2 linked regions of the Oreochromis niloticus genome follow. The protein of the gene in region 2 purifies or fractionates together with the protein of the main gene of each other region. This does not show direct contact. Links are inferred from orthologs where the notes say so. Each region holds a gene or a part of one and is shown on either strand. Other genes may lie near its edges. The genes, in order: mlx and mlxipl.

What was found.
Region 1: the proteins of mlxipl (region 2) and mlx purify together in Homo sapiens (affinity purification with western blotting; 3 studies listed by BioGRID and IntAct, counting the BioPlex papers as one, with this or other methods). This does not show direct contact. The link is inferred for Oreochromis niloticus from reciprocal best matches to the Homo sapiens genes MLXIPL and MLX.

The regions. Positions count from the first base shown.
Region 1 is NC_031969.2:25,989,268-26,006,088, reverse strand, and holds mlx (max-like protein X), read right to left. Parts: upstream 8,969-16,821; 5' UTR 8,866-8,968; coding exon 8,827-8,865; intron 7,921-8,826; coding exon 7,884-7,920; intron 7,742-7,883; coding exon 7,652-7,741; intron 5,454-7,651; coding exon 5,344-5,453; intron 5,265-5,343; coding exon 5,162-5,264; intron 4,716-5,161; coding exon 4,616-4,715; intron 4,297-4,615; coding exon 4,095-4,296; intron 3,999-4,094; coding exon 3,942-3,998; 3' UTR 2,362-3,941; downstream 1-2,361. Other genes in the region: psmc3ip (homologous-pairing protein 2 homolog), read left to right, coding at 1-6, 822-875, 1,038-1,097, 1,195-1,251. UniProt on the Homo sapiens protein: Transcription regulator. Forms a sequence-specific DNA-binding protein complex with MAD1, MAD4, MNT, WBSCR14 and MLXIP which recognizes the core sequence 5'-CACGTG-3'. The TCFL4-MAD1, TCFL4-MAD4, TCFL4-WBSCR14 complexes are transcriptional repressors.
Region 2 is NC_031975.2:7,054,610-7,069,718, forward strand, and holds the start of mlxipl (carbohydrate-responsive element-binding protein), read right to left. Parts: upstream 8,469-15,109; 5' UTR 8,260-8,468; coding exon 7,913-8,259; intron 7,399-7,912; coding exon of another isoform or gene 7,389-7,398; intron 6,422-7,388; coding exon 6,315-6,421; intron 6,164-6,314; coding exon 6,081-6,163; intron 5,987-6,080; coding exon 5,897-5,986; intron 5,661-5,896; coding exon 5,619-5,660; intron 2,653-5,618; coding exon 2,478-2,652; intron 1,213-2,477; coding exon 1,132-1,212; intron 1-1,131. UniProt on the Homo sapiens protein: Binds DNA as a heterodimer with MLX/TCFL4 and activates transcription. Binds to the canonical E box sequence 5'-CACGTG-3'. Plays a role in transcriptional activation of glycolytic target genes. Involved in glucose-responsive gene regulation.

The sequences.
Region 1 (16,821 bases), on a different chromosome or scaffold from region 2:
GACAAGGTGAGGAATCCACCAGGGATCTGTCCTACGGCCTCTCTTATTTCTAAATGCTGTGAAAAAGTATTTACCCCCTTACCGACGTCTTTTTTTTTTTTGCATATTTGTCATATTCACACGCTTTAGTAAATTTTAAATTAAGCTATGTCATCGCACCCATTTGCAAATGAATCCCCATCTCACTGTCCCTTCTCCCTGTTTGAGTACCATGGTCTACAGCCTTCAGTTGTCCTCTGTCTTCCACAGTGTCATATAAAAATCTTAATGATTCATGAGTCAACTGTACATATACTGTTCAGTAGGTATCTGAGAGTACACCTTGGATGGAGCTGGGTTTTTTCCTAGAGAGTAGGGTACTGCTCCCATGTGGCTGTTTAACATCTCATCTCACTGTAGATCAGCTTGTTAGTCTCGGTAATGGTAATGGTGGCGGCATAGTGCTGCATTCACATAATCTAGTAGAGCTTCTGAGGGTACTTCACTTAGTCTTGGTAACGGAGGATCCAGGTTTCAAGCTTGCCATGATCTCTTGCACTCAACGATCATTCTTCTAGCGCACTTGGGGTTTGGTACCCAATCTCGGGTGGGGCTGATAATGTTATCTCCACCCCTGACCTGTCGCCCTGGCTCCCCCTTGCCGTAGCATGTGTGTTGTACCCTATCAATCTCTAACCGTGAGAGCAGTCCCTTCTCCTGAACGTTGGACCTGCAATGTGGATGTTGCGTATCGAACTTGCCACTCCTGCTCCAAAGGTGTGTAACCTTACCACTACGCTATCCAGCTGCTTATATATATTAGTATTATTTTTAATTTGCAGGTTTATAAAGAACGAGATCTCTACGTTAAAGAGTGGAAAAAGAGGAAGAGACTGGTAATCTTTTTTACTTAAGTTCCTTTTTGTATTCATAGCTCATATGTTTCATATTGCATGCCATGTATTTTAAAAATGCAGTACAATCCCTCCCTTTCATTAGTGCGAGTGAAACTGCATATGGACATGTTATTAAAGTGTTTGGCACTTTGTTTGCGTTAGGCTTCAGACATGATAAATTCAATCCTCGAGGGTTATCCAAAGAGCAAAAAGGAGTTCCTGGTGAGTTTAAGACACTAAGAAGAAGAAAAGAAAAAAATCCTTTTTAAGAATAAAATAAAATTCTTGCTATTACCTGCAATATTCTGCTTCCTCACAGGAAGAAGTTGGAGTGGAGACTGATGAGGACTGTAAAGTAGTTCTTCCACATACTTGAACAAGAAAGTTCTTTTACAGTCACCTTGCCACTAATCTAAGCAAATGGATTACACAGGAAAGCAATCTGAAGCCCAGAGAATACTTTATTTATCGCCCTTTATTTTGAATAAATAGTTCAACTTTAATAAATGCTTTAATTGAAAAAAAAAGTTCATAACTGAAAGTATGTTTTTATAAAAAACTGTTTCGTTGCTTGTGAAACTCTTAACACTTTCACATCAATTGACAACACAGTCATGCTCTTCACCTCAAAGGCAACGCTGGTTTAAATTTTCCCTTCTAAAGCGATTTAACCAATCCTGAGCTTTCCAGTGAAAATCTCAAGGCTTTATTTAAATGTTTAAAATCTATACATTCTGTTGTTCTTGTTCAACTCCATCTTGCTTTATTTTCTGAAAGCATAACTTAAAATGTATAATGTATATATCTATATTTTTTTAATTACAGTTGTACTGTTTTCTGCTTATTAAATGTTCAACACCATAAATTCTGATGCTGAAGCGCCACAATTGTTTTACTTTAATTCTTGTGAAGCATAAATAAAATACATTTCATTAGCTGCACAGTTGGGAACCACCGCCTAGCTTTATGATTTTTCCTGTTATTGTTATGCACAGATGCTTCATTTTCACATAATTTGGATGACAAAAAAACCCCTCAGTGGCCACTTTATTAGGCAAACCTATGAAATTGAATACAATCAAACACAGTGTTCTCTCAGAGGTACAGATTTAAAACCTATTTTAACCTCCTAAGACCCGAACTCTTCCACGGCATGGATTTTTAATTTCTCTTATATTATATATATATATATATTTGGGCATATTGGGGCCCAATGAATGTAAAAACAAAGAATTACCAGATGTTTTTTTTTTTACCTAATTTTTGTTTCTAAGACAAATGAGAGCCACATACGAGGATATTCGTTTAAAATTTCGATAGAACAGTAGCAGTATAATGTCCTCGTAAGTGGATATCAGGCAGTTGTAGCGCAAAATTGAGTATTTTGGTCTAAATAGCCCAAAATGTGATGTCCACATATGTGGACGCCAGGTCCTAGGAGGTTAAATATTCAACCTCCTTGGATTGTAAATTAAAAACGTCAACATTCAACACCACAGCAAACTACAACACTAACAGAGCTGTACATTAATGCATAGATTACACCTATCTGCTGGTGTACATTTAAAGAAAGAAAAAAAACCTTTATAAAGCAGACTTTAAGGCTCAGATTTCAGACTGGATTTTACAGGGGGTAACTAAAAGTGGCCACTGAGTGTACATGGCTTGTATGACAGAATTATTAATACACCCGAAACAACAACTTAAGACAGTTAAAAAAAAACAACATTTCCATGAAAACAGCTAACACAGGAAAGGATGTTTATAGAAACAACAAACAACCATCATTAAAATGAGCTGTCACCTACTTGAAATTCACTCATTATAATTCAGCACACAGCAGCTGTAGCTTCTCAACACTTCTCTCAGCATGAACTTGGCTGGTGCAGTTCAAAGGGACAGTTTTCAAAGTGATGGTGGAGAAAAAAAAAAGCGGGTTCTGGCTGATACACAGCATGGCATGAACTGCATCTTAGCCACTGAGAACCACTGATAACAAAAGTAAACAATGTTTATTCTGTTGGAATTGGACCAACAAGCTGAAATTTTAAGCTTTTTGATTAAAGGAAAATCTGAAAGTTGCAGAAAGATCACCACACACATTGCTTCATAGTGTGATGAGCTCAATTATGAGACAGAATACTCATTACTTTTCCTGCCATTGAAGCCAAATTGAATTGAAATACGCCAACTATAAAATGTTAAATGGCACACTGTAAAGAGATTTAAATTTATACATACAATAATTTGACATTTCAGCACTTTGTCAGCTTGTCACAGCTCCATTTATGTACATCTCAAAATGTGTCGGATTACAAGCCAAATCCCAGTGATAAATTGTTGAGACCTCATATAGCATTTTCCTGATAACACACTTAGCAATGATTGTTACTCTGCAGTAGTTTCTATTATCTGTTACAGCTGAGGAATGGCTCAGTGTTCGTCCACTGAAGCTGAAAGAGCTCCTTTGGTTCAGCATTAAGCTACAAAGTCATGCTTGATGTGACAGAGGGGAACGTGTTGGCTCATGAGTTCCCTTCCCCCCTTATCTCTGTTGATTATTTTAAAAGGCACCATAAACTATACCATCAGTTCACTCAATCTGTAAGAAGAGTTCTTGCTATTAAGATCTAATCTCCCCTCCTCATGTTTTTTATCTCAGTGTGGGCAACTATGGCTACTGCAGATGGTGGTTACCATTAGTTAAACACAATATTTTGCCTGCCTGACACATTGAAAACGGCACTTACAGTGACTTCTGTACTGCTGGGTTCCCAAATCAAATAACAATCAGAAGATCCTGAAATACACTCAGTTAAACATGTATGTACATTTCAAAGCTTAAAGTGATTTGTATTAAACTTATATCATTCCAATGCCACCTTTCACCTCTGCCACATGTGATGAGGTACTCAAATTGCAGCCAAGGAGTCACTGATGAGTCAAAGTGAGTGTAAATACTGCGGCATAGCTTGAGGCTGATCAACATTTTTTTTACTCCACTCTTAGAGGCCAGAGTAAGCTCAAAAAGTCAATTTTTGGGTGTTAACCAGAGGCCAGGCGCAGTCAGTAAAGCTGACCGTTGAGCTGCCGCAGCACTCCAACAACAAACTCCCGCAGCGTCTAGGAAAGAACATAAGCAGAAGACAAACTATGAATATCTCAACATAAACACAAAATAATAAAGTTCTCATGGGTTTCTTTAAATATACTCCTTACCTGTGGCTTGCAGTGTTCCTCAATCCAACTGAAAACACAGGCCGACAGTTCTTGGAAGCTGCTCATTGAAACAGAGTTGCTGAAAGATTGAAACAAGGAGTCCATGATGCTCTGAAAGATGTTGAACTTGACCTGGTCCGACACCTGATCCTCTCCCTGCTGTGGGTTGTTCTGGTGAGCCTTCACTATGTGCTCATAGTTCCTATCAAAACATAAAAAGGGGGGGGGATGGTTAATATAATTTCATAAACAATGAATCTGAGTCACTCTTTACAGAACATGGACAAAAGCACACAATGCATTCCCCACTCCACAGTTTTCTTTCTTTGCCCTAGACCAGCATTCTTTTTACAGTCTCAGAAAGACTTTATTTATCCCCAAGGAGCAATTAAGATCTGTCTTTCCATCTGTCTAGGTATGTTTAGAGGATTTAGGGAAGTCTCAGATCGCCAAAAAAAGAAGGCCTGTGAAGAACACAATGTGGAAAAAGCAGTTTGGCTTATGAATTTTAAACCACTCACGTTTTCATAATCTTAAGTGCCATCACTTCTTTTCTTAGGACAGAAACTTCCTCCTCTTGCTTCTTCTTTTCTTTGTGAAGGAAATGGATGTAGTCAATTGCTAAAAAAACAAACAAAACAACAACCAAGAAATTGTCAGTCGGGGATTTCTGCCTTGCACACAAATTTTAGGTACACTGTTGAAAGTTAACCTTTATACTGAGGGCGTTAGTACTGTAACTTCCCCTTTTGTTGGGTAAAGGAGCCCCTGCAAGACAGGAAATATCTGTTCTTCCTTGAACTTAGTCTATCGTCTCTTTTTATTGTTAAATGTGGCCAAGTGAGATGTAACTGTGAAAAGCTTGCACCACACAACAAGTTCAGTACAAAGCATTCTATTGTTTTCCATGGCACATAAACAGGATAGAAAATTGCTCTTTTCTTATCAAGATGTCAGATGTAATAGTTAATATATAGATTATCTCCAACTAAATCTGAAGTCAAGGTTACTCATCAGAGGCAGTCCAAGTTTGTCCAAGTGTTAACAAATATTTGACCACATCTTACTTTTTTGCAGAATAGTAGCCTTGCTGATCTTCTGTGCTCCCACCGCAAATTCAGACTGCTGCTGGCATGTTGGAACGATTGACTGGAGGTCATCATATCCTTTCTAATGTTAAAAGAGAGCAACTAGTAACTACTGAAAAAAGTTAAAGCAAATCTCCAACTTTCAAAATGTGTGTCCTTACTTTAATAGCATCTCTACGCTTCTGCTCAGCTTGCGTGTGTGCTTGTCTCCGACGATCTTTATACGAGTCCTTATATGATGTTTCATGCCTGTAGTCGCTGTCTTCATCATCTATGTGGGAATAGATTAATACTCATTAATGAAAAAATAAAAATCTGAACCATGACATTGGCAGCGTTTTTTTAACCAACTTACAAAATGCTGAAGTAGCTATTTTAAAAAAGTTGATCAAATCAATTCATAACCGTACAAGATTATTAACCCTGGAGTCATTCCTGTGTTGGCACTCATTTCACACATATAGGCAACACTCATTGATTTTCATCAGTAAGAATTACTGTGATGGACTTAATTTACACAGTAAATTATTATTTAACATCTCATAAACCCTCAAAGAATTTAAGAAAATATTGTAAAATATGAAACACATGTTTCCATAATTAAACATGGACTAATACAGGAAATATTTTCTACCTCACACAGCAATCCCTGTGTTTGGGAAGTTAGAAAATTTTATGTATAAAGCAGTCACAAAACATTGTACAGAAAAATAGAGTAAAATAAATACGAAAATTAACTGCTGTAATAGCAATACAAAAAATATTTCCATCTTTATTTATATTTATTCAAACTGTATTTTTTTTTAAGACATATTTAAGGGCCATGTTTAATGTTTTGTTACTGTAACACATGAATTTTCTAACTTCTGGAATAAATAAAAATAAAAGCTATAGAGCTGCAGGGCTCGCAAAATCGCTAGCTCGACGTCCCGGGGCTAGCGATTTTTCCAGTCGGGCTACCAAAATCTATCTCAGCCCTGCCCGTCGGGCTATCATAGGAAGGGAAAATATGTGTCAATGCTTTTGCATTCTTTCGAAAATGTAGCTGAGTAATTATGTCATCGGCATCGATGAGCCACTGCCAATATGTGACATATTGAAATCGCGTTTGAATTTGTGCTTGTTTTTTGCTTTCACTTTCACTTTGCGATCGCGCGAACGGTGTATAGAGAGCGGCAGCACTGATTGGTGAGTGACGATTGCGCACCAATTCCTCTGACATCGTCTTATCACTCATTAGCTTACTATTCAAACGTGACAAGTGAAATCTCCCACAGCAAGTTTAAACATGTGAGAGGTTGATTGCGCAGAGAATCGCTGACCGTTATGCAAGTACGTGTGTAAAAGCAGCAGGACTTACGCCGGTATTTTAGTTCTGCTGAGCCAAATAAGACAGGTCAGGGTGAAGAAGGGGCAGCCAAATAAAAGCCTACCACAAAACGGAAACGTTATGACAAATCAGACTAGGAGGCAAAAAGAAAGCTCAGCTTTTTTGGTTTCATGGACAAAATAATTTCTGTGGCTGGAATATGACGAGCTAAATAACATGATGTTCTGCCAGGTGTGTTGTGAGTTTCATTTCATTTGAGTCGACAAGCGCCTTTATAACTGGGACCAGTAATTTTAAGAAAGACCCCATCAGAACCCATGAGAATGCATTATTGCTCAGTCTGCAATATCTTTCCCAGAACAAACAGCAATTGCAAAAAACATACTAAAAATAAACCAAGCACAAGCAGAAGTCCTGAAAAATCTTTCAAAAGCGTACTATGTTGCAAAGAGTGAACTACCATTGTCAAAATTTAGCAGTCTTTGCAAACTTCAAAAAGCAAATGGCCTAGATCTTGGTTCCACTCACCCCTTACCCGTGACTTCAGTGGAAATTTCAGATTCAGGATCTGACACAGACTGATTCATGTTCTACACAGTTCTTACAAGTTCATAGAAATTTCTGTTCAATTAGAACCAAGTATTTGAGTTGATGACTGTGATTTTTATACAGTTGTTGTGATTTGTATTTTAACAACTTTCTGATTAATTTTTGTTTCCGTTACAATATTATACTTTAATGTATAGTATTGTAAAGGAAACAAAACATTAAAAAATTGCTCTCTTTTTTATTCGGGCTACTTAAATTTATTTTGGGCTACCAAAAACTGAAGAGGGCCTGCCCGAAGGGCCACCAGAGATTTTGAAATTTTGCGAGCCTTGAGCTAAGGTTAATATATATTTTTTATTAATCACAAGCAAGAGAGATTTTTCCTTTTATACAAATCATGGAGAAATATAAGCAAAGCTGTCTCTATTTCCTGTATTTCGCTTTTACACTAAATAAACAAAAACTTTTTTCTTAAAAATATCTGACTGGCTCAGGCTACAACAACCAAACAAGTAAACAATTAACCTACACTACAATTACATTACTAGTAGCTAACTATCACATAAATATACAACATTCAAACCCAGTACCTGTATTTGGCACCGAAGAGGCACTTGTTGAGCCGATACTGTTGGCCCGGGACACAATAGTGCCCTTTCTGATTGCTTCAGAAATATAACCTAGACAGCAAGACAGCAGTGATCAAACATAATCCACAACAAAATCAAAATATATTTTGATATACATCTATAATCGGTATCATGTGGGAGATCAGATTACACTGGTGATGAAGTACAACACAAGAACTGACTGAATACTCACTGTTGTCAAAGCCACCATCACTGAAAGCACCATCGGTCTGCCGAGCCATCACGAGAGAGCAGAAGATAGAAAAAGGCAAAAAATAAGAGGCTGTAAAGCTAATAACAAGGGAAAACGCTGTGCTGCCCTACATTTGTTTGACAAAAGACCAATAGCCAGCCAGTTAAGCCCCCACTGAGCATTGCCCTGATTTGTCCAGTTCAGGAAAACAGGTGGGTAAAAAGCTGCAGAAAATAAGAGCCTTCATCACAGAGCTATTGTTTGATGTAGGGCACAGCTGTCTAATTTGTGGTTTCCAAAGTCTCAAAAGCTCAGGAGGGGAAAAAATGAATATATGTTAAGTTTGAACAACAGATCCTACTACACGTTTACTTACGTACTGTAAAATTACTATTCCCTATTTATTTTAGAGACATTTTTTTTTTTAATGGGGGCCCTGAACATATGTTAATTATTATTAATTATTTTCTTTGTTTTATTTGGCTAAACGTCTTTATTAAGGAGTCTGTGGAACGAAGACCATTTCAATTTCTGTGGTGTGCTAATTAATTATATATAGTGTAAAACAGACAAGGTAATGTGAGCTTCACAAACACTGATGCTGCACTTATAGATTTGCAAGAAACAAGCAGCTACTCTGACCTTTTTTCTTTTTTACCTTTTTGCGTGTGTAGATGAAGACTTACTGTATACACCATAGGGGGAACAATGGCTGCTTTGTTTACATAAGTAGGCAATTGGCTAGCTAACCAATACAGCTTTCTAACATTATCAAAACCTCGGAAGCTAACGTTAGTTAGCCACGAAGCTAACAAACCGTGTACCCCCTGCACTTTACTAAAGCTTCAACTTTAAGACAACACAGCTTTTGTCATTTGCCAGTGCTGCCATACACATGAGTCATCTGAACCCGAAATAGAGGTTTCTGATAGCAGTTACTCACTTTCCACTGGTCCTCTGGAGATGTTGTCGGGTCCGTCATTTTGGAATGCGACGGATTTCTTCTTCTGTGCACCACGGTAGTAAATTGTATCTGTTCATGATAAACGCCACCCCATGGTTTGGAAGGATTACTGCAGTAACTGACCGCATAAAATGTAGGTTTTATGTCACAGAAAGACTGTATTAAAAAGAAAAGAAAAAATAAACAGAAGGCGTACATAGTATGAGAGAAAAACTAAAATTATTTTTTTTATCAGTTCTTTGTCTCTTAAACACTTAAATAAATCTGCTTTCTTTCAGCTGCTCTTGAATCTTGCTCATCATGGCCAGTGAAAATCTTCAACTCTGCCACCTCCAGGTCTGCGTATCTCTTTTTTTAGTGATAGCATTTCCTAACCATACATCATCTCATTCTTGCGGCTATCTTCCTGTAACAAATTACCCTTGACACTCGTCTCAATCCTCTCCATCCTGCATGCATTCTCTTCTTCAGCTATCTTGTGTACCTACTGTTGCTTTACAAGAAAAACTCCAAGTATTTAAACTCACTTTACTTCAATACCTCTGCTACTTGCGTCTCCACTGTTACACCTGTAAGGAAATGATTAGCTTTATCGTTTTGATGATTTTTTCCCAGCATTTTCCTGATGTCTAAACACATCTCCAATCTTCTCTTTTGGCAGCAGTAAAGGAATCTTTATCTTGATCTTTTCATTTTACTCAGCTGATAACACTGTTGCCTTCCAGTGAGTCTCAGAAAGCTTTGAAAATGAATATCCTGTTGCATCGGAGCTAATAATTTTCACTTTCTCAAAGAAATGCATCTGTGATAAACTTATTATTCTTTTCCTCAATAGAAATCATTTGTATACACACAGGCTTCGTAAATTACTGAGCCAACGAATGGTAACAAGTTAGTTTTCAGAAACATAACTATCTTAACATTCCCACTGGATAGATCTCACTAGATGCAGTAGTCATCTTTATCCACATAGGGGTGTTGTTTGACAATTCTTGTCATGCTGAAACCACCTTTACCTGTCTGGATTAAACCACCACATGAAGGGAAAACACCAAAACAAATGTAACCGTTGACTCATGGCAAGCTGACATCAGTAAAATGACTAAATCTAGTACAAAAAGGTGGTTTCTTTGTGAAATGTTGCAAAGTTCCCTTTAATTGTGTAGTTGATTTACATCTACATCGACATCTGTTAATCTTACATCAAATCTGGAGTCTGCTCTCCTTCATTCCTGTAGTATCTTTTCTTTATCATCATCCACCTACTGCATGGTTACGTGTAACGGTTACCATGTTTATCTTCCACCATGTCCTCCGCCCCAGGTTCTATAGCTGTCATGCACAGGAAGTTACTCTTCTGCTTTTGTGCTTCTGTGGTTTCTGACTGTGTCACACTCCTCATCTGCCTTCCTCTCACACGCAGGCTTCGGTACTGAACTATTTCAGAGAGTTCTCGGTCAACTAATGTAGACAACAGTGCATGAGGCATAGGCGGACCTTTTTTTCGAGTTCTAACAGGCTCTAACAGGACTTATCACCTCATTTTCAAAAGGAACTTGAAGACAACTTAAGGAGAAGGGGGCCATGAGGACAAACTTTCTTTTTTCATTGCCCACCCTGTCCTCGGGTGTGAGGCGGATTTTGTAAACCTGAGAATTAATGTAGATTGCCCTAGAGGCCCTAGACTTGATTTGATTAGGGCCTTTTTGCTGTTGTAATTCAGAGTGACCATCTTTTGTCACTTTGCTTTTGGATACGCTGATTTCCTGGAGGAAACAGTTTGCGTAAAGCAGTCCCCCTGGATTACTTGTGGAGATTAGTGATGGGGAATGCGGCTGGTGGGGGATTGGAGCATGAACCGGCCGAAGGCCGAGAGGCCAGAAACTCAGTCAGTGCAGCTTCAGCAATGAATGACTCTGCACCAACCTTGCAAAAAAAGCAGCCTCCTCAACCCAAACTTCCCATGCCACCAGAGAAGGAGCTGGAGGAGCGCTTCAACATGGTTCTGGTGAGTGAGAGCATGACACGCCGTGCACCCTTACTCCATATGAAATCATGCAGATTTTGCACAAAGTTTTGGTTTGTAGATGTAAGGGCGATTGTGCAAGTAAGTATGATTAAGAGGATCACAAAAACACATATCAAATCAGCTTTCATTTTACATTGTTACATTGTTAAGGTAATAACCCAAGTTTGAAAGTGACTGATCTTTCACTCTTTGGAAATTTACTTTGCTCTAATATAGACTCCAATATGTACTTTACTTCATTTCTTACACTCTCTAGGTGTATCTAAAGCTATTTGTCAAGTGAGAAGAAAGAGCTGAACGTTAGAAAGATCGTTACACCCTCAGTCAGAGTCTAATGGTCTGTCATTTTGTCCAGTCAAATTTGCACAAATATCATCAGTTACTTAAATTTTCACTTTAGTGATAAAAACAATGACAATCCTGTCAACAAGTTGCCAAATTCTTCATGGTTTGGTTAGAAAAATTCAAACCAGAAACTGCTTGATAAATGCATGCACAACAGCAGGCTGAAATGGGAAGTTGAGCAATGCATTTACATGCCGGAGGCCACAGGACCGGAAAGGAAATGTTTCACCATTCTTTCAACAGTCTCACAACAAGTTAGTAAAGATAAAACTTCAAGTATTACGATCTTTTAGATTATATGTTGCGCAAAATATCAAATCATGATGCTTAGACTATCTTAATCCTGGCTTATTCTTTGACTTTTTTAATGAAAAAATAGAGTTAACTATGAGATTTGTGTTTTGTTTTTTCTTTAGCAATGCTAAGAAAAAAATACAGATCTACAAAAGTGAAACAAAGACACTAACAGTCATGTTAATCTGACATAGCTTAGCCAGTAACATCAATGAGTTAAGAGTTTTACTTTTTCAAGGCTCAAGTTCTCCAGATTTTTACATCTAAATAGTTCAGTTTGTTCTACAATGTTCTCATTTTTAATTTTCTATAATGTCTGGCATTGTGGTTTATGTGGTAGATGATTTACAGCATTAAGTGTCCAGATATACATTTTAACCACACTCATTAAAACCACTAGTCTGGAAGTGGGCACATCTAGTTAAAGCCACCGAAGATTCTTTGACCTGTCAACCCCTGAGGCTGTCCTGCCGCTGAACATCTGGATGTTGGTATCAAATCCTTTGAGACCCATGAGTTGTAGGGTGTGGCTTCTATGAGTCTGGCTTATACCACAGAGGAAAGCACCTGCCTGCTATTAATAATAATATTATGTCACAAAGTTTAGGATGGTACTTTAACATAGGCTTTCCCAACAAAACATTAAATTACAAAAGCAGGATCAGTGTTATTCAGAGCAGTTGTAAATGGGTTTTAACCTTTCAAGCAAATATTTAGCATACATAAAAATGTAGTGTATGTAAAAAAAAATAATGATTTTGTGTTTTTGTAGAAGGTGGGGTGCAATTAGAAAGTTATTTTTTACGTAGTAAAAAACAAACACTTTACACAGCAAATATAAATCCATGCAACTATTCCAACTAAAACTATTTGTCTTTTCTCAAAAATGACATTGATTGGAACAGCATACCATGATTATTCTAAAAACAAGTCAAAATTCACGCCATATCTGCTTCATATGACAAACCTTGAATGGAAACATTATAATTTCATGCAAGATAATGAAGTTTAGAGCCAGGGTTAACAGTTCATTAATATCTACACAAAATGTGCTCTCCGGAAAATGACAACACCCTCTCAAGTGTCTTCCTTCTTCAGTAAAATACTTGTCACTTGTCAAACCTCAGTCTAGAGATTATATTGTTGACGTCACCAACAAGGAAACGAGAAGTGAACCTTCTTTTTTTTTTGCATTACTGAAAAATGTGAGTACTTTTTATTTTTGAGTAACTAAATCAGAAGCTATAAACTTCATAATGCAAGGCACTCACATTACCTTTTTTTTAAGTACCACAAAACCACAGTAAGACCTCTCCCTTACATCAGCCAAGGAAGGAGCCTCATTTCGAGCACCAACACATCAGATCATTTCCGTTTTCACTCCTCCCTTTTTAAAGAAAAAAGTGCACAGAAGATGTCAAACCGCTGCTTGAATGTACACAAAACTAGATTAAAAAGCCACACCCAACATCAACTGAAATTATTTAAACTTACTGTAAATGGTCACATTGATTTAAGCTTTTGATCAGCTAAAAAAATAGTACCAGTGCAGTACCAGCTGCAGTAATGTGAGAGAGGACTGTGAAAAAAATATCTTTAAGCAAAACATAAATAATTACAGGGAATTAGTGATCAAAGAAAACAAGTTAATTTTGTGAGTGAAGCCTTTTTCCTTGACGCAGGGGCGTAATTTCCAGGGGGGTTAGGGGGTTATGACCCCCCCAATAATCAGACTCAACCAATATAACCCCCCCAATAAAATTATGAATTATCTTGCATAAATAGGCTGTTAATTTTCTTTACTCATTTCAGTTATTACCAGCAAAATAGTTGCATGTTTAATCATCTGGGAATTTACCCAGATTTATTTATTTAGACAGAGATCTTGACCCCCACCCCAATGTTCAGCAGAAAGTTACGCCGATGCCTTGACGTATCTTATTCCTTTTAATTTGACCTTTTTTTTAAAAATAACAACCTCCGCTCATTCAGTTTCTGTGAATGGGGAAATAACGTTTACACATGACATGTCTCTGTAGGTTTGATAACTCAGTGTGAAACTGTCCCTTTTGGACAGTAATATGCCAACTCGAAATTCAACCTACACTGGAATCATGGAGGTGGAGGATACTTGGTCTGTATAAAGGTCTTTATGATATTCAGAAAATAACAGAAATATTATGAGCAGTTTATGACCGAAAAAGATATTTTACTAAAGCTGAAACAGACAGCACAGATAATGTCTAAACATGGGTCATATTATTCAAAAAGTCAAAAAGTGTTGCTGAAGCTTGAGTAGACACTGAGTGCGTGTAACACATCGGTACCTATTGGCAACGATCGATGCATACACGTAAACACTGAGTCATCTGCTACCAGTAGGTAGTTACCGCCTTTCAGTTTTGTGCTGAAAGTGCATCTGAGGTATTGTTGTTTTGCATAATGTTACATGAGCAGGAAACACGAAGAAATGACAGTATATAGTATAATATCTTTCTGCTAAATATCAGTAGAGATGGAGTTGATTTTTTTTGTACTCCAAACACATTTTCATGTAAATTCTAAAACCCATTTTATATCTTTACATCTTTCTTCTTTCAGAGTTCCATGAACTTGCCTCCAGATAAACTCCAGCTGTTGAGTCAATACGACAATGATAAGAAATGGGAATTAGTCTGTGATCAGGTGAGAGCTTTTATTTGTTTTTTATGAGTAACATATGCCATCAAAATGGACCAAATTCTTGCAGCGTTGGCTCCACTGGGGGCAGAGTTGATATAAAGTGCACAAATACCCAAAGGGGAGAGTCTTAAGTGGTGGTTGCAAACCTTGCAACATAGTTTCTGTGGTGGCAACTGATAGAGCCGTCGGCATGGAAACAGAGAGCGGTTTGTGCTCGTTGTATTTACTAGAATAACTTCAAATGCAGCTTGCTGGTAAAATATGGTTCTGGATCAGTCGTTATTTGAGGTCGCTGCTTAAATTAATTCTACTTCAGCATGTGCTGACTCTATCCTCTGTAAAATATTCTCCCACAGGAGCGTTTCCAGGTGAAGAGCCCCCCATCCACTTACCTGACCAAGATCAAAAGCCTCTACCAGGATCAAGGAGGGGTGTCTCGTAGGGTCAGTAGAAAGCATTCTTGTTCTTTATGCGTGCATCATGTGCCTGCATCAGTGACTTTAACCCCTTCTGCTTTTTTTAGTTGAAGAAAAGGATCCAAGATGCCACCCAGGTCCTTAAAAATTTGGAGATATCCCTCCGGACCAATCACATTGGGTGAGCCTGTTTGTTTCATGAGCCTCTGTTTGGTTTATTAGTGTTTAAGGTGTAATGTGTTTTATTTTGGTTTTTGGTGTGTCACAAGTATGTTTTCCAGATTTTAATAGCAGTTTCACGCAGTCCAACCTGAAAATCTTTATCAATCATTAACGCTAAAAGACATTTCAAGGCGAACTTTAGCGAAATTGCAAACTGTCTGTGCACTTTACCTACATAAATCATTTAGCTATTTTAGTTTCACTTGATATTTTTCAGCTGGTGATAAAAACCTTTGCTGAAGTGGTTCTTCAGCACACCAACAGTTATATATAGTTTATATACAACCTTTTACAGAAGCAGTACTTAAAGCTTCGATGTATTGTTACATTTGTACATAAAGTGGAAAAGGCGGCAAAACCAGTGCAGAAATAATCTGTTTTGGGGTTTTTTAGCCCTTTGACTTTATTGCATTTTTTTTTCCTTCATAGTGCAACTCCTCAAAAAAAAAATGTAAGATTGCAAAAGAAAATCACCTGACTGTGCTGGATTCCATATTTAGAGCAGGACTGCGTTCTGTTTTCCTTCTAAAGTTACAATCTTTGGCTATAAATCCTGTCTGGGCACAGAATCTATTACATATGGTCACTCCTCATGATTTACTTTTCTTTTTTGAAGATGGGCCCAGGAGTTTCTCAATGAACAGAATAAAGGTTTGGATGTTCTGGTGGAATACCTGTCCTACGCACAAAGTGACAGCTCGTGAGTACTAAGCAGACATGAATGCTATTTTAGAATCGGTCTGAGTTTCGAAACTTAATTGTGCTGTTATAGATTGTGTTAAAAAGATGTCTATTTTTAAGGTTTGAGGTTGAGGGTATAGAAAATGGTGGCAGCCTGTCAGACAGAGGAAAATCAGCAGAAAGGTCAATGGAAGACTTGACCAAGAGCTCCAGCAGCCATCAGTCACATGGGATGACCAGAGCGGCTCGTGCACTGACTGTAAGGTAAGGAACTCGAGACTTGAAAGGTTACTGAGATACAGTAGCTTTAAGAAACAGCAATATGGTTTCAGAGAAGTTGCACAGTTCAAATGCCTTTGAATGAAGAATGAACTTTGAACATAAGCAGCTCTACACACTGTCAAAAAATAGACTCATGCAAAGCAGAAGTGGTGTGAAAACTCCACGAACTTCTGCGGTACTGATAAGCACCACAGTGGTTTCCACTGCTGTGAGAACTGTGCCATGCTACACCTCTCTTTCTTTTAAGAAGTTGTCGAAGTATAAATATTTAGGACTGAATTTGAGAAAATCTGTGAGCCCAGAAATAGAAATACTCTCAAATAAAGTGACAGCTCTAACTGATATATAAGTAAGAGCTTATAAGATTATAACTCTAAAATATGAAACATAGGTTTAGGTTTAGTAACTTAACTGATACAGTGCCACAGCATAGCCTCCTCTTAAAAAAGATAACCATTGACATTCTCGTGCTCTCATTCATTCAGATCCCCTCACATGGTCATCCAACTGTTTGTTAGTAAAGTTAGTTCGTCTTTTATCCTTTATCTTCATTCCATGTTGTGCTACATAGCATCTGTCAAACACAGTGACTGTCCAAAACCCTAGAAGTCAAAGCTACAAGTATCTCACTGCATATCTTACCATATGTATATGCATACAGGAGATTCTCTTCCCTCAAACATGTATTCCAACATGTATTATTGCTTCACAGAATAAGCTCCACTCTGGTAAACAAGATACATAAGAAGTCCCACATAAACAACCAGAGAGATGATGTACATGTGTGCATAATGTGCCTGCGAGCCATCATGAACTATCAGGTAAAGCTTTAGCACACAGTCTAATAAAGTCACTTAATTCCTATGCTGTCTTTAAAATGGATTATCACAGTATATGACATGTTTTCTGGGTTGTCAAAAAAAACCCAGTTCTTGTTTCTAGCACATTTGAACAGCTGTTTATGTATCTTCCGTCTGCTTTTAGTCTGGTTTTAATTTGGTGATGACTCACCCACGCTGCGTG
Region 2 (15,109 bases):
CCAGAAAAATCACAGCCGTTGTTGCCCTGAGCAAGAAACTAAACTCTAACCTTCTTCCTTCCTCCTGCCTGAAGCTTTGCTCCTCTATCGCTGCAGGCTGACTGTTCAGTATAAAGACTAAAGCAGACCCCAGGCATAACACTATACTGTCTCCTGTGCAGTAAGTGTCAGCTTGGTAAGTTAGGTGCTCTACATTTAGATGTTTACATGTTTTACAAAGACATTTACTTAACCCTGCATCAATTAACTTTCAGCCATTTGTAAAACCTATGCTATCACTTTTAAAGCCGTCAAGCTAGCTAACAGTTGCATATTTATACCTCTAAATGATACAAAGCAGCAGTGAAACTTGTGTAAAGCCAAGTGTTGGTCCATCTAATGAAAATTAGTGCAACTTTCATTCATTCCAGCTTAATTTATGTGATGTTAGCTCCCTACACCATGAATTTATAAAATCCAATCAAAATTAAATGAAATCACAGACCTAAAAGCTACAGCTCAATAGGAATTAAGGTAACAACACAATTTCACTTTATAAAAAAAATAGAAAAGTGTATCTGCTCACTGATTAAAAACAACTTTCTCTCTGATTTTTACAGATAAACATCAGAAATGTACTTGTTTAGTATTCAAAATGGCCAAAGCTCATTGGCTATTCGCTAAAAACAAACAAACAAACAAAAAAAAATCTGCCATCTTCCAGCCCATCAATATTTATTTCCCCCAGTTTCTAGGTGGTGCCAAAAGTAGCAATAGTGGTTAAATACATCCTCTTCCACTTCCCCATTTTCCCCAGTTCAACCCTGCCTCTGACAATCCTTTAACTCATGAATGCCAAACAACATACTGCTGACACAGCACAAATCAGAGTGTCCCTCAAGGTTTTTTCACTCATGAACATCTGGAACATAAACCTAATTTATGTACCACAAAAATATGATTAAGATAATCATCATCCAAATATGGCTGATAAGAATCTAATCTTAAAAACTCATGTACTCTTCACACTATATCATGCACTGTCAGCAAGCATTTAACTGTAATCAACCAGTGATCGGATGCATTAATCAATTCTCCACATTTACATCATTAACAGATAAAGAGATGGACATATGAAAGGGTAGAAAGTACCTGGTATATCCATGAAATCATCCAGGTTGGGCTGCAGTGGAGTCAAGCCTGGCTGAATCATGTCAGCATTATTGGTGTATGCTGATGAAGTGGAAGAGAACATAATAATAGATGCACGCATGAGAAAGAAATGCTCTAGTGCTATTGTGTATTTTTTTGACAGGTCGTCTTTCATCATAGGGAATTTCCTTATTTGTAAGGTGGGTTTCATTGGCTGAATTGCTAACCTATGTGACCAGCAGACAGAGTCACCAAAATGAGGTAGGAGCTTAGAAAGTGAAATACTTCTACATTATATTGAAGCATAGTTTGGATTTGTTTGCTCTCTTGCTGAGAGTCAGTGGATCTTTCATCAAAGGCTGTTTTTAGCAAAAACTGGACACTGGCAGAAAGAGCCAGCTGGCTATTTTTATAGGCAACCTGTCCACCTGCTAGCTGAAGAAATCACATATCTTGTTTGTTTAGGTTGCACAAGAAACAAAGTGTTGATGGTGACTTCCTGCTTTGCCTTGTTGTTGCCTTGTCACTGTGAGATGGCTTGGAAAGCGGCACAGACTCCAAAATTTATTGTGCCCGATAGTCCCCAGCTCTGACTGAGCTTTAGACGTGCTGATCCATGTTGCCTTTTTGTTTTCATCTTTTTAAGCTAGGACAACCATCTGCTGGGTAAAGCCATACTTTGAACAGACAGATAATGAGAGTGTTGGAAACCTGAGTGCGAATGGATGAGAGGCTATTGTTAACCCCCCCCCCCCCCCCCCCCCCCCCCCCAACACACACAAAACCCACAAACAAACAAACAAACAAACAGGTGATGTAGCACCGCAGTAAACAGGCCTCAATCCCTACCTTTATATGTTGCTGTTATCAAATTTTAAAGAAAAAAAAAATTCTCAATTTCTCAGCATTTTATATGATGCCCGTGTATTATTTTCAGTCAAATTTAACTTTTTATTATTTGAAAATAAATGCATTTTGCTGTTATTTACCTTTTTTGGGGGGGAAAGGGCATACATGTCTGAAAACGGGACCACATTTAAAATGAGAGATAGTCCAACCATATCTCTATGATTATGTTCCTTTTTTCTGAAAATCTGTCCCTAAAGCTCCTGTTTATGACAGACATGAGTTAGAAATATCATTTTGGGCAATTTATTTGATTCAAAAAGTAAAATAAACTGGGATATAATTTTCAGCCCAGTGACAGCTAATTGGAATCAATTATTTTAATCCATGCAGGGTGCACCCTACGATCACCCTTGCTTTTAAATGCTTCCAATCAAATTCTGCAAGTTTTGAGACTAGTCCCTGCTGAAAGTCATTCCACAAATTAGTCTACTACTCACTGTTGTGTCGCTCACTGGTCCAGGGACACGACTTCTGTGTCATGGTGAACAGGGTGTCAGAGATGTCGGACAGAAGACAGTCCAGGTCAAACATGTGGGCCTCCGCGGGGACAGCCTCGGGTTCCTGGTAGATCTGATAGGACCATTTATCCTGCCTGGCTTGGCAGATCTGACCCTGCAGAACACCAACAAGGAATCAGAACACTTACAGGATCTGACATGCCAAGTTAATCCCAGATCTATCCATTAGGGGCTCAACATAAATAGAGCTGGAAAGTCCTAATTCATCAATGACTTCTGGTTCTCCCAATCTGTGCCTGCAATTGGTGCTCTATGAAAACTTAGTGCCACATTTGTTCGGCTAATAAATGAAAAAATGCCTCTCAAAACTAATATTAAAACAGCAGAAAAAACAAAACAATATCCAGTTACACACAAAACAAAACTGAAAACCTACAGCATTGACAACTTCAACAGGAAACATGCGCTAAGCTGTCCCCCTTCTGCCCCTTCTGCTTCTTTCAAACCCAGTGAACAACTCACAGAAATGAAGCGCCACAGCCAGCCTGTTTGACATGCTTTGTTTCACCCCGATCTTCTACTCTGCCTTTACCTTCCACTTCTAAGCTTGGGGCCACATTTATAGGGAAGCCCACCAGATTGAGCCGGAAACTATTTCTGATTACGTCTGAGCACACGACATCCCCTCTTAGAATACAAGCACGCACGAGCAGAAATGAGGTAAGATTGTTGTGCGCACATGTATGTGTATATGTGCGCGCGTGTGCAAGTGGGGTGCATCATGAAAAAGCTGTTTTAACACATTGTTCAGAAACACTGGGCCCTCACAGGTTTTCATTATGTCTGCTTTGTTCATTTCTTTATTTTGATGTCTCACCATTTCAATAAGAGCGGCAGCCTTTTGTCCCTGACCTAATTCTGGGAGTTGCACACACACACACACGTGCATGCAAACTGGAAGAGGCCCCTGTTAAACACAAACTGATGCTGCTTGGAGAAAATACACACATGCATATGAGCGGCTGAAAGACTGCAGCATCTACAGGGTGCGTTTACATCGTTTGGTGAGAAGTTTCGTTTCAAAAGAGATTCTACTAGATCCAAATCTAACTCAACTTTGGTATCCAGAAGGATGCAATTTTTTATTATAAAAATCATCAGTGAAACTTACCCTACCCTACACATTACCCCACTTTTAAAACTTTTGCATCTCCTACCTATCAAGTTTGAATTTCATTCAACGACGTTGGTCCTTCCAGGGGGCCCACCTACATTATTGAACTGTTCCATCCCTGCACTACAAGTTGGCTTCTCAGGTCCTCAGACAGGGGTCTTCTCACGGTTCTGTGTGCCCATCCAAACACTGAGAGTGATCGTGCCTTCCACACCTTAGCTCCAAAACTGCAGAAAAGCTCGACTGTCTTTGTGCCTGTTTTAATGGGCAGCTTAACCCTGTAACACCAAGTGGATCGTATTTGTGAGGTTTTGAGACCGCTACATTATCAGTGTGATTGCTTTTCCCTGAAAAGCCTAAATATGTTGCACAAATGTTAAGCAATAAATTGCACAAAAGTCCCAGATGTAAATAAAAAAATCTTAATTAAAACTCCTATATGCAAATTTCGCTCTTTTAAATACTTGTCAGAAGGTTCATTAAATAATGTATTCCAAAACATTAGATTTTTCTGTAAATTATTTGATGGTTCAGAGTGTACAGTGCTTGTAGTGTGTGTTCATTTTGTTTACTTATGTGTGCGTCTCCCTTTTGCAGAGTGTGAATTTTTTTCCTTTCAAAGAGCTATAAAAATAAACTTTACTCGCTTACACGGCATTATCACCTAATCAGATATTATTTGACTCTCAGACTGACTGAATATAAGGGCTAATGTTGCAAGTCCAGTGATCTTAATTCTCAGTCTTTTTCGTGCTATTATTAGAGCAGTTTTCCAGCTGCCCTCTTCGGGCCACACCACACACTACATCCTTCAGGTCCCAGCAACCTACTGAAATAGGGAAGGTGTGACCAGGTGTTGAAGAACAGCTCAGGTTCAGCTTCCCCTGAACCCACTGCTCCACCCCTCCCGTGCAACTGAGCCACATAACCACACCCCGCTACAGTCTGTAAATGAACTGTGTAAAAATCTCTTGAAATACATTGTCACTGTAGATAATACTCTGAACTTTATTTTACTATTCTACTTTATTAGAAAGTGGTTGATGTTAAAAATGTAAAGCCAATTAAATTTCAGACTAGTGCTGTCACAGGTTAAAAGTGCACAACTGTAACTGTGTAACCGCATATATGACATGATTACAGTATACGACATACACACTTTTGACTAGTGTTTTTCTAAGCACTAAATGTAATCTGTTAAGAGAATGGTGTGATAAGAATATGAGTGCTCAGAGCATAAAAACACAGTGAAGTGATCTTTGACCTGTTAGCTACTTGCTGATATTGGCCTTGCCGTGTTATCTATCAAAACACGGGTCAGACGCAGCATTATTATTGGAGTTTTCCTAATGTTGACCTCAAGTAAAGCTTGGACCTCCAGTGCCACAGCACATCTACAGGAAAATGAAAAATTAGAGCCCATGAAAGATGAAATATGAGGAATACTATGATGAAAGCCACTGCCCCTCTGCTGCCCGGTTTTTACCAAGTGCTGATGGAAGTAGGTCACATTTGATCAGGTTACATTCATTTTTTTTACTGTTTTTCTTGAATAAAGATAAAGAGTTATGGGTATTGTCGCAGCAGGCAGTTAGCTGGGTCAGTTGCCTTCATGTGTCAGGTTGTGACGCACAGCCCAAGTTGTTTTGCCCATTTCTATTTTCTTTTTTAATTCCCTTTTTTTCTCCCCTTCTCCCTTGTTCAGCCAGAGAGGCTAAATCCAAATGCTAAAAATAGTCACTTGGTGGACTTTAGTGGTCGTATGTCACTAAAAGGACATTCAAAAGTAAACAATGCCAGCAGGTCACCCACACATTACAATATACGCTGGGTCAGTTGGCCAGCTTCAGCCTCCACTCATCAAAGTCGATACTTGTCGACTTTAATTTGCTTGCAATATTGCAATAATGTAGCAATAACAAAGTAATGTGTGGCTTCTGACTTACCTCTTGAAGCATTAATAGAATGTCATCCTTCTTTTTCTGAAGCTGCAGGAGGAAAAGACAGAACGAGTGTGGAAAATGAACCATGTTTTTTGTTTCTTGGCTCATCATTTTAAGTTAACTAATTACAGTTTTGATCAGGTAAATGTGTTGGAAACTGGGGCCACTGAGGTTCATCCTTTGGGGACTATGACAACGTGACAAACTGTCCAACCAATAGGTACTGGTAAGCTGACTTAGAGACAGATTAAAGATGTACAATGAAGAAGGTGAGCACTCACCCTCTTCTTATAGTAAATCCTCCACTTATGGTACTCCTTGATCACCACCTCAATCCTTCTCTTCCAGTAGCTGCCCTCTAATATGATCGCCTGTTGACACGATGCCAGAGAAACACCAAGTATGTTAGTTTGTTTTTCAAGGATTAGCCAAAACTTGCAAGACCTACATCATTCATTCACTCACTTCGGGCTTTCGATGCGCATCTGCCTCCAAGCCATCCAGCGGGGTCACAAAGCCGCACACTGGGTTTTTCCTCTTCTCCACATCTGAGCCCAGCATAGAGAGTAAAAAAAGACAAGAAAATCAGCTGCTGTGTAGACATTCATTCTGGTGAAATGTGGATTCTCTCGACCCATGTTAGGTCACCAGGTTCTTCTAGTCTCACAATTTATAAAAAAAAAAAGCACCAGCACTCACACTGAATGAACCATGCTCTCCAGATTGCATTGTTCAGACGGATCTTATCCCTCCACAGCAACCGCAGACCCTTAAAAGATTTCCATTTAGGAGAGACTATCTTACCACTGTGGAGAAAAGAAAGGTGGAATATGTAATTGTTTAGGGGAAAATGTGAAAGCCCTTTCATTCATGATGTTTGTGGAAAAAAAGTCATAAACATGCATAATTGACTCTTTTAGAAAAACAATGGGAACACTGCCTCAAGCCTGCGCAAACCTGTCCTGATTTTGACTAATAGTAGCCAGTCACCTTATTCCCCGGTATACAACCAGGCTATACCGGGTTCTCTCTCTCTCTCTCTCTCTCTCTCTCTCTCTCTCTCTCCCCCCCCCCCCCCTCCCTCGCTTTTTCTCTGCCTGCTGAGAAGAGGACTCCTAATGTGAGGTGCTCAAGGAGTTGCTAGGAAGCCTGGGGAAATCATTCTCAACCTGGTTTTAATGGACTGACATGGCTCCGTATTATTCAGCCCAAACAGCAGAGACAGCATATTGCGGAAAAAACAAAGAGCAATCAGCAGAGGAACCACTTTACATCAGTCTGGTTAATGATAAATAGCGGAAAGCGGAGCAGCAATCTGTGCGGAATAAGAGGCTATGTCATAGGCTTGGAAAAAAAAAAGAAAAAAAAAAAAGAAATATATATATATATATATATATATATATATATATATATATATATATATTACTTGTTTTAAATCTATATTTTTTGTGTTTCTAAGACAAATTGTGGCACTGTTTCAGGATTCATTGTCCAACTATTATCAAACTAGACCTATAAACAAATGCAATTTTCCACCCAGCGACAGCAGATTAATTTAAAAAAGTCTTCTTTGGACCAAAGGTTGATGACAGCTCTTATAAACACGGTTTCAAAGAAAGTGGTCCTCATTTTTTAAGTAAATGAAAAATCTATGAGTAGTTTGATGTTACTGAAACGTAAGCACATTTAGAGAGTATAAGGAGGTTTCTTTGGTCTTTGGTTTGTTTTAAGTGCGGCGGCTTCCTCTGCTATAGTTGTTCATATGCAGGAGCTTCTTTGGGACATCTTGTAACAAATGGCTGCTCTCAAACAGAAAAACAAATTTCTGGGGCATCGTGTCAGGAGTTTCTCTCCTTTGCATCAGTCACACTGTCCTCTGTCCAGTCCTGCCAACTAGAATCAAAGTCCACTTTTTTTTGGGTGAAAATTTCCAAACTGGTTATGCAACAGACTGACAACACATATACACAAACAACCACAACCTTAACTATCGAGTTTGAAGGGAAATATATATATTAAAAAGAAATATTTAAAAATGTGGTTTAGTTTAGTTCGTTTAGTGAGCTTCAGTTAATTTAAAATACTCTTATTTTAAAACAGAGACTGCAGCAGATCCTGTGCATATCACTGCTTTAAATATCAGCTCAGAATGAGACACTTTCACATTCTTTGGAGATATTTTCTTCCACAAGGTTTAGCTAAAGTGAACAAGCAGAAAGCTGAAAATAAAAATGCTGATTAAAAAGCTGCTGAACCGACTTCATTTTTCCCCCCGACTACACGCAAAGGGGACCCACCTGTAGGCCAGTGACATGCACTCGAACAGGCGGGTCAGAGTGGGGTCGATGCTTAGGCTCCCGGAGCTGAGTGGACCGTAGCGGTACGTTTGACACCCCGTTCTGTTCACCGTGTCAAAGTCGTACCTCAGAGACCCTCCACTCTTCCTCCTCCGCGCTGCAGAGTCGCTGTGGGGCGAGGATACCATGAAGTGTCCGCTGTGGATCACCTGAGTGCGGGGGAAAGATTCGGGCGACGGCCCGGTGCCGGCCACCCGAGCGGGTTCCCCCTCCGGGTCAGAGTCCGATTCTAAGAAGTCCTGAAGCTGGCTCTCTCCGGCCGAGCAAACGCTCCCTTTGCCCGCCATTGTGCACTTTCATTCAGCGGTGAGCGTCGGACAGAAAGTGAACTTTCTCCTCAGCTGACTTCCCCCGCTTCCTGCCCTGTTTTCTTCAGATATTTGAATATTTCCTCAAGGAAGAGCCGATTGCTCATCTGTCAGCTGAGGGCTCAGCCAACCAGCTGCAGGACCTACACCTCTGGAGCATGGTGTGTGTGGACTGTTGTGTAACAGCATACTATCATTATGTCAACTTCCCGAGCTGGTAAAGTCCCCAAGGGAATAGACAGAAAGTGGTAATTATTAATAAACCAAAGCAAATACTAAATATTAGAAAGTTGGATGTGTGGATGTGTCACAGATTCACATTATCATTCTCTCTCTCTCCCTCTCTCTCTCTCTCTCTCTCTCTCTCTCCCTCTCTCTCTTTCCATATATATATATATATATATATATATATATACATATATATATATATATATATATAAAAAAACACCCAGCACGCCCCTGCGGGCAGTTTATCCTTCAAGCTCGGGTCCTCTACCAGAGGCCTGGGAGCTTGAGGGTCCTGCGCAGTATCTTAGCTGTTCCCAGGACTGCGCTCTTCTGGACAGAGATCTCCGATGTTGTTCCCGGGATCTGCTGGAGCCACTCGCCTAGCTTGGGAGTCACCGCACCTAGTGCTCCGATTACCACGGGGACCACCGTTACCTTCACCCTCCACATCCTCTCGAGCTCTTCTCTGAGCCCTTGGTATTTCTCCAGCTTCTCGTGTTCCTTCTTCCTGATATTGCTGTCATTCGGAACTGCTACATCGATCACTACAGCCGTCTTCTTCTGTTTGTCTACCACCACTATGTCCGGTTGGTTAGCCACCACCATTTTGTCCGTCTGCATCTGGAAGTCCCACAGGATCTTAGCTCGGTCATTCTCCATCACCCTTGGGGGCATCTCCCATTTTGACCTCGGGACTTCCAGGTTATACTCGGCACAGATGTTCCTGTACACTATGCCGGCCACTTGGTTATGGCGTTCCATGTATGCCTTGCCTGCTAGCATCTTGCACCCTGCTGTTATGTGCTGGATTGTCTCTGGGGCATCTTTACACAGCCTGCACCTGGGGTCTTGTCTGGTGTGATAGACCCCAGCCTCTATGGATCTTGTGCTCAGAGCTTGTTCTTGTGCTGCCATGATTAGTGCCTCTGTGCTGTCTTTCAGTCCAGCTTTGTCCAGCCACTGGTAGGATTTCTGGATATCAGCCACCTCCTCTATCTGCCGGTGGTACATACCGTGCAGGGGCCTGTCCTTCCATGATGGTTCCTCGCCTTCCTCCTCTTTCTTGGGTTTCTGCTGCCTGAGGTATTCACTGAGCACGCTGTCAGTTGGGGCCATCTTCGTGATGTATTCGTGGATGTTTCTTGTCTCATCCTGGACTGTGGTGCTGATACTCACCAGTCCCCGGCCCCCTTCCTTCCGCTTAGCGTACAGCCTCAGGGTGCTGGACTTGGGGTGAAACCCTCCATGCATGGTAAGGAGCTTTCTTGTCTTTATGTCAGTGGCTTCTATCTCCTCCTTTGGCCAGCCTATTACCCCAGCAGGGTACCTGATCACGGGCAGGGCGTAGGTGTTGATGGCCCGGATCTTGTTCTTACCGTTCAGCTGACTCCTCAGGACTTGCCTGACCCTCTGCAGGTACTTGGTGGTTGCAGCTTTCCTAGCGGTCTCTTCATGGTTCCCATTCGCTTGCGGGATCCCCAGGTACTTGTAACTGTCCTCTATGTCTGCAATGTTGCCTTCTGGTAGTTCAATCCCCTCAGTTCTGACTACCTTCCCTCTCTTTGTTACCATCCGACTACACTTCTCCAGTCCGAATGACATTCCAATGTCATTGCTGTATAGCCTGGTAGTGTGTATCAGTGAATCGATGTCTCGTTCACTCTTGGCATACAGCTTGATGTCATCCATGTACAGGAGGTGGCTGACAACCGCTCCGTTCCGTAGTCGGTATCCGTAGCCAGTCTTGTTAATGATCTCACTGAGGGGGTTCAGGCCTATGCAGAACAGCAGTGGGGACAGAGCATCTCCTTGGTAGATCCCGCACTTGATGGTGACTTGTGCTATGGGCTTGGAGTTGGCCTCTAGTGTTGTACGCCACATCCCCATTGAATTCCTGATGAAGGCTCTTAGGGTCTTGTTGATCTTATACAATTCTAGGCATTCCAGTATCCAGCTGTGGGGCATTGAGTCATAGGCCTTCTTGTAATCAATCCAGGCTGTGCACAGGTTGGTCAGTCTGGTCTTGCAGTCTCGGCTGACTGTTCTGTCTACCAGTAGCTGGTGTTTTGCGCCTCTGGTATTCTTGCCAATCCCTTTCTGTGCCCCGCTCATGTATTGACCCATGTGCCTGTTCATCTTAGCCGATATGATGCCTGACAGGAGCTTCCATGTAGTACTGAGGCAGGTTATTGGTCGGTAGTTGGATGGGACCGGTCCCTTCTTGGGGTTCTTGGGGATCAGGACCGTCCGACCTTCGGTTAGCCATTCCGGGTGTCTCTCGTTAACTAGCAGCTGGTTCATTTGTGCTGCCAGACGCTCGTGGAGTGCAGTCAGCTTCTTCAGCCAGTAGGCGTGAACCATGTCGGGGCCTGGTGCTGTCCAATTCTTCATACTGGAGACCCTTTCTTGGATGTCTGCCACTGTGATGGTTACTGGACCCTGTTCAGGGAGGTCGCTATGGTCTGCCCTCAGATCCACTAGCCACTGAGCATTGCCGTTATGGGTTGTGTCTTTCTCCCATATGCTCTTCCAGTATTGCTCCGTCTCCAGCCTTGGTGGTGCTGTTCTGTTATTATTGTTCCCTTGCCACTGAGAGTACACCTTTGCTGGTTCTGTGGAGAACAGCTGGTTTATTCTCCTGCCTTCTATCTCTCTGGTGTACCTCCTCAAGCGGCTGGCCAAGGCTGTGAGTCTTTGCTTGGCAGTTTCCAAGGCCTCAGGTATGGACAGCTTGTTGTATTTCTTATGCACCTTCTTTGTTGCGCCTTTCTGCAACTCCGTTAGTTGGCTAACCTCCCTTCGTGCTACTTTGATCTTGCCCTCTAGCCTCCTTCTCCATGGAGGGTACTGCCCTTGTGGCTGTTCAACTTGTAGCCAAGCATCTCACTGATCACTGCTGCCGTAGTGTAGATCAGCTTGTTAGTGTCGGTAATCGTGGTTGTAGGATATATATATATATATATATATATGTATATATTTGATGTGTTTCAGCAAGCAACATTTCTGCCCATGTGCGAAGATTTCTGCATATCACATAGGCCCCTATATCTGTGTTTAGGAATGATTATTAACAAGTTTTGATCCTTCATTTTTTTTAACCCATAAAGCAAAGAGTACCGGCCCCTACTGGCGGTATTCTTTGTTGCATGTTTTCTAATTATTTCTCTCTCTCTCTCTCTGTGTGTGTGTGTGTGTGTGTGTGTGTGTGTGTTAAGCCTGAAAATATTTTCTTGAAATATTTCTGGAGAAAATAATTAAAAAAAAAATCTCAACAGCAATCAGATATGAAGAAGTGGGTCTTCCCTTTACCTCACCCCCAACTGGTTGTAGCACATGGATGTCCCTCCCTGAACCTGGGTCTGCTAGAAGCTTCTTCCTGTTAAAACAGCCACAGATGTGCTAGAAGCTAGAAGGGCTAGAAGCTCTGCTCATGGAGAAACTTGCTAACCCCAAGAGGTGACAGGTACCTACAAATAACATGATATAAACCCACATACAGCCTAGCCACAAAGTAAACCAAGTCATTTAGTTAAAGACAGCATGGGACCAAATGCATCTAAGCAGCCTGCACCAACCTGACATTTCTTCCTCCTGAATTAAATGAAGACATGGATGGATGGATGAAAATTATATGACTTCAAACCTAAAATCATAAAAGCTACTAGTTCCCACACTGGTGTTCCCTGACTCTGAGTGTTAATTATACTGAGCTTGTATCAACAGTTGTAACAGGCTAAGCTAAGACACTGTATTGAATTATTGTTTCTATCTTTATGATTTCAGCTGACTGGATTCAGTTCAGATGTTCTCCTTTTCCTTTCGGTAGATCAAATGACAATGCAACTTTACTAAAACCTTTAAAGTATCTAATATAAAATAGAAAAATGAAGCAATCAGAGGTTTAATGATGGAGACTCTGGGTTCTGTAGTTCATGTTTTACAGTCCTGAATGACTATTTGCAAATGCATATAATTTATTGAAGTGGAGTTTAGGTTGCACTTACATTTAGACTGTTGCCATTTAATTTTTTTTTTTTTTTTACCTTGTTACCTTATGCCATGAATAAGGTTTACCTACCTACACTCCTAATGCCAATATGATTCTTTATAACTGCTGCTTTGAAATACTGAACTCCAAAATTTACCTCATGAAAGATAATAGTTCACAGTGGCACACTGTCAGAATAATTCTGACTTTAATATCACTGTATTAATCTGAATCTTTCTCAAATGTGCTATGAATAAATGCTGTTGCAACTCACTGTGGGAAAGCTGTTAATAAAATGAATCTGTGACACCTTCACAGAGGAAGAGCACACAAAGGGAGGACACACAGAGGCTGTGTTAAAGTCAGAAATCCAAATCTTTAGTCAAAAACAGGCAGCGGTTACAAACAGAAAGACAAGCAGCCCAAACATGCACTTAATGGGGTTAATTGCCCAAAGGTGTGAATGCGGAAGTGAATGTGAGTGCGAATGGTTGTCTGTCTCTGTGTGTTAGCCCTGCGACAGACTGATGACCTGTCCAAGGTGTACCCCGCCTTTCGCCCTTTGAAAGCTGGGATAGGCTCCTGCGACGCGGAAGCAGTGAATTCAAACAGCTGTAAAGTGAATTCAAACAGCTGTAAAAAAAAAATAACTGCGCACTGAAAAACTTAAAGCAATGTCTGACGCAACAATAGGAAACAGCTGAGTATATTCAGTAAATTATCATCAATTACAAAAGAGAAAAATGACGATTTCTAAAGTGTTTTTCTTAATTGCATTTAGAGTGTGGCTGGTAAAGATGAAAACAAACAGAATTGCGCATTATGACCAATGCGTGACTTGGCGGGGTCCTGAGGTAGGCGGGCTGTCTCTGGTGATGTTGTCATGAAACGCAGGAACAGCGTCTGACACATGTTGATGAAACATCCAAGACACTGGTGTAGTTTCCTTTCAGGCTGTTTGACATTTGACACTTCAACATTAAGGGGAACAAGAAGAAACAGTGTTAGGTCAGGTGACCACATGGTTTCTAAAATAACTGACAGGCTGTTAGAAATGGAGACCATGTGTTTAGAGTCACTGCGCAATAGTTACTGTAGTTAAGTAACTATACTTACCAAAAGCAGACGCACACAGATGAACAAGGATCAGATGCTGAATGTTGCAGGAACATGCTCATGTGTGGTGGTCATTCAATGCTGCTCTATTCTTTTGTCACTTGTCTCAGGCCTTTCTTGAAGTTGGCAGGTTAGACAGTCCAATAGTCATATCCTGCCCATCTGAGGAACAGTTTGAAAACACACATGCAATGCTTTATTCGTATTACGGTCAGAGTTGGATGTTCATTTTTGTCCTTTTCTTTGAAGCTGGATGATGACGACTCCTCTCTCCCTCACTCAGAAACACTCCTAAAATAACCAAGCAAATGAATACAATTAAAGATTTACTCCTTTCATTAACAAAAACAATAAAAACATCTCCCTTTTATTCAATTTCTCCATTCCTACTGAATATCAGGCATCAAATATCACAGTAAAATGTAAAGCACATACTATGTACAACATTTGCCTGCATAAAGAACATTAATTTCTAAATCATCAACAACTATTCCTTTTTTAGCTGTGGATGGTTTATCTGCTGCCTCTGATGAGAGATCAGTAATTCAGTAAAATCAGTAAATCAGTAATTTTCTCTGCTTTGTCTTACCTCTGCAGAGCCTCTGTCAAGAAAAACATATCTGTAAGCATAGAAGATGTAAAATATACATTTCATAGCACTGCACTGGACAAATCTGGGTTGACTTCCTCTGTGCATTGCAGAAAAGCATCAGTAAGGAAGTCAAGGTGGTGAGATGGACTCGTGCCCTTTTTGACTCTGCTAGTTCTTCTGAGAAAACACCACCGTCCCTCCACACCATCACCATCTGTGAGCACAAACTGCTACTCTGCCAGCCTGTAGGAAATTGGATCACCCACACAGAGGTGAAGAAACAGAGCTCGAGTTTGGATAATTTAGATCAAACTAGCTCTTAGTTTTAGCAATCCATTGAACAGACAGGTGTCAAATTTATCAAAACCATAACAGAAACACACACACAAATTTTATTTTTATATATATACACATATACATATATATACATATGCACACACACACACACACACACACACACACACACACACACAGAAATGTACAATTTTTGATTAACAGAAAAAATATGAATTACAAAAAATAATATTGTATGTTATTAAAATATTCTGCAACCATGATCAAAGTCAGAATATTCATTACAGAATTGTGGACTTACTACTTGGCTAATAGTGATAAACTTCAGGGGAGATCATGATGACAAAAAACACAAATAACACTGTGAAGTCAAGCTGCTTTTCTTCTTTCTGTGACGTCAGCATGCTGGCAGACTTGAAGTTGCTAAAGATTTAAAAAAGTGATAATTATAGGGAAGAAACTTCTCTTTTTCATCCGTTTAATCAAACATTTTATGCCTCACCTGTCTCAGTCCTATAGCATTCTGCAACTTCAACTAACCTGAGGAGGCTTGGATTTGGCTGCAGGTATCCCTGTAAATCCTTCTCAGCAGCATACATGTAGTTACAATT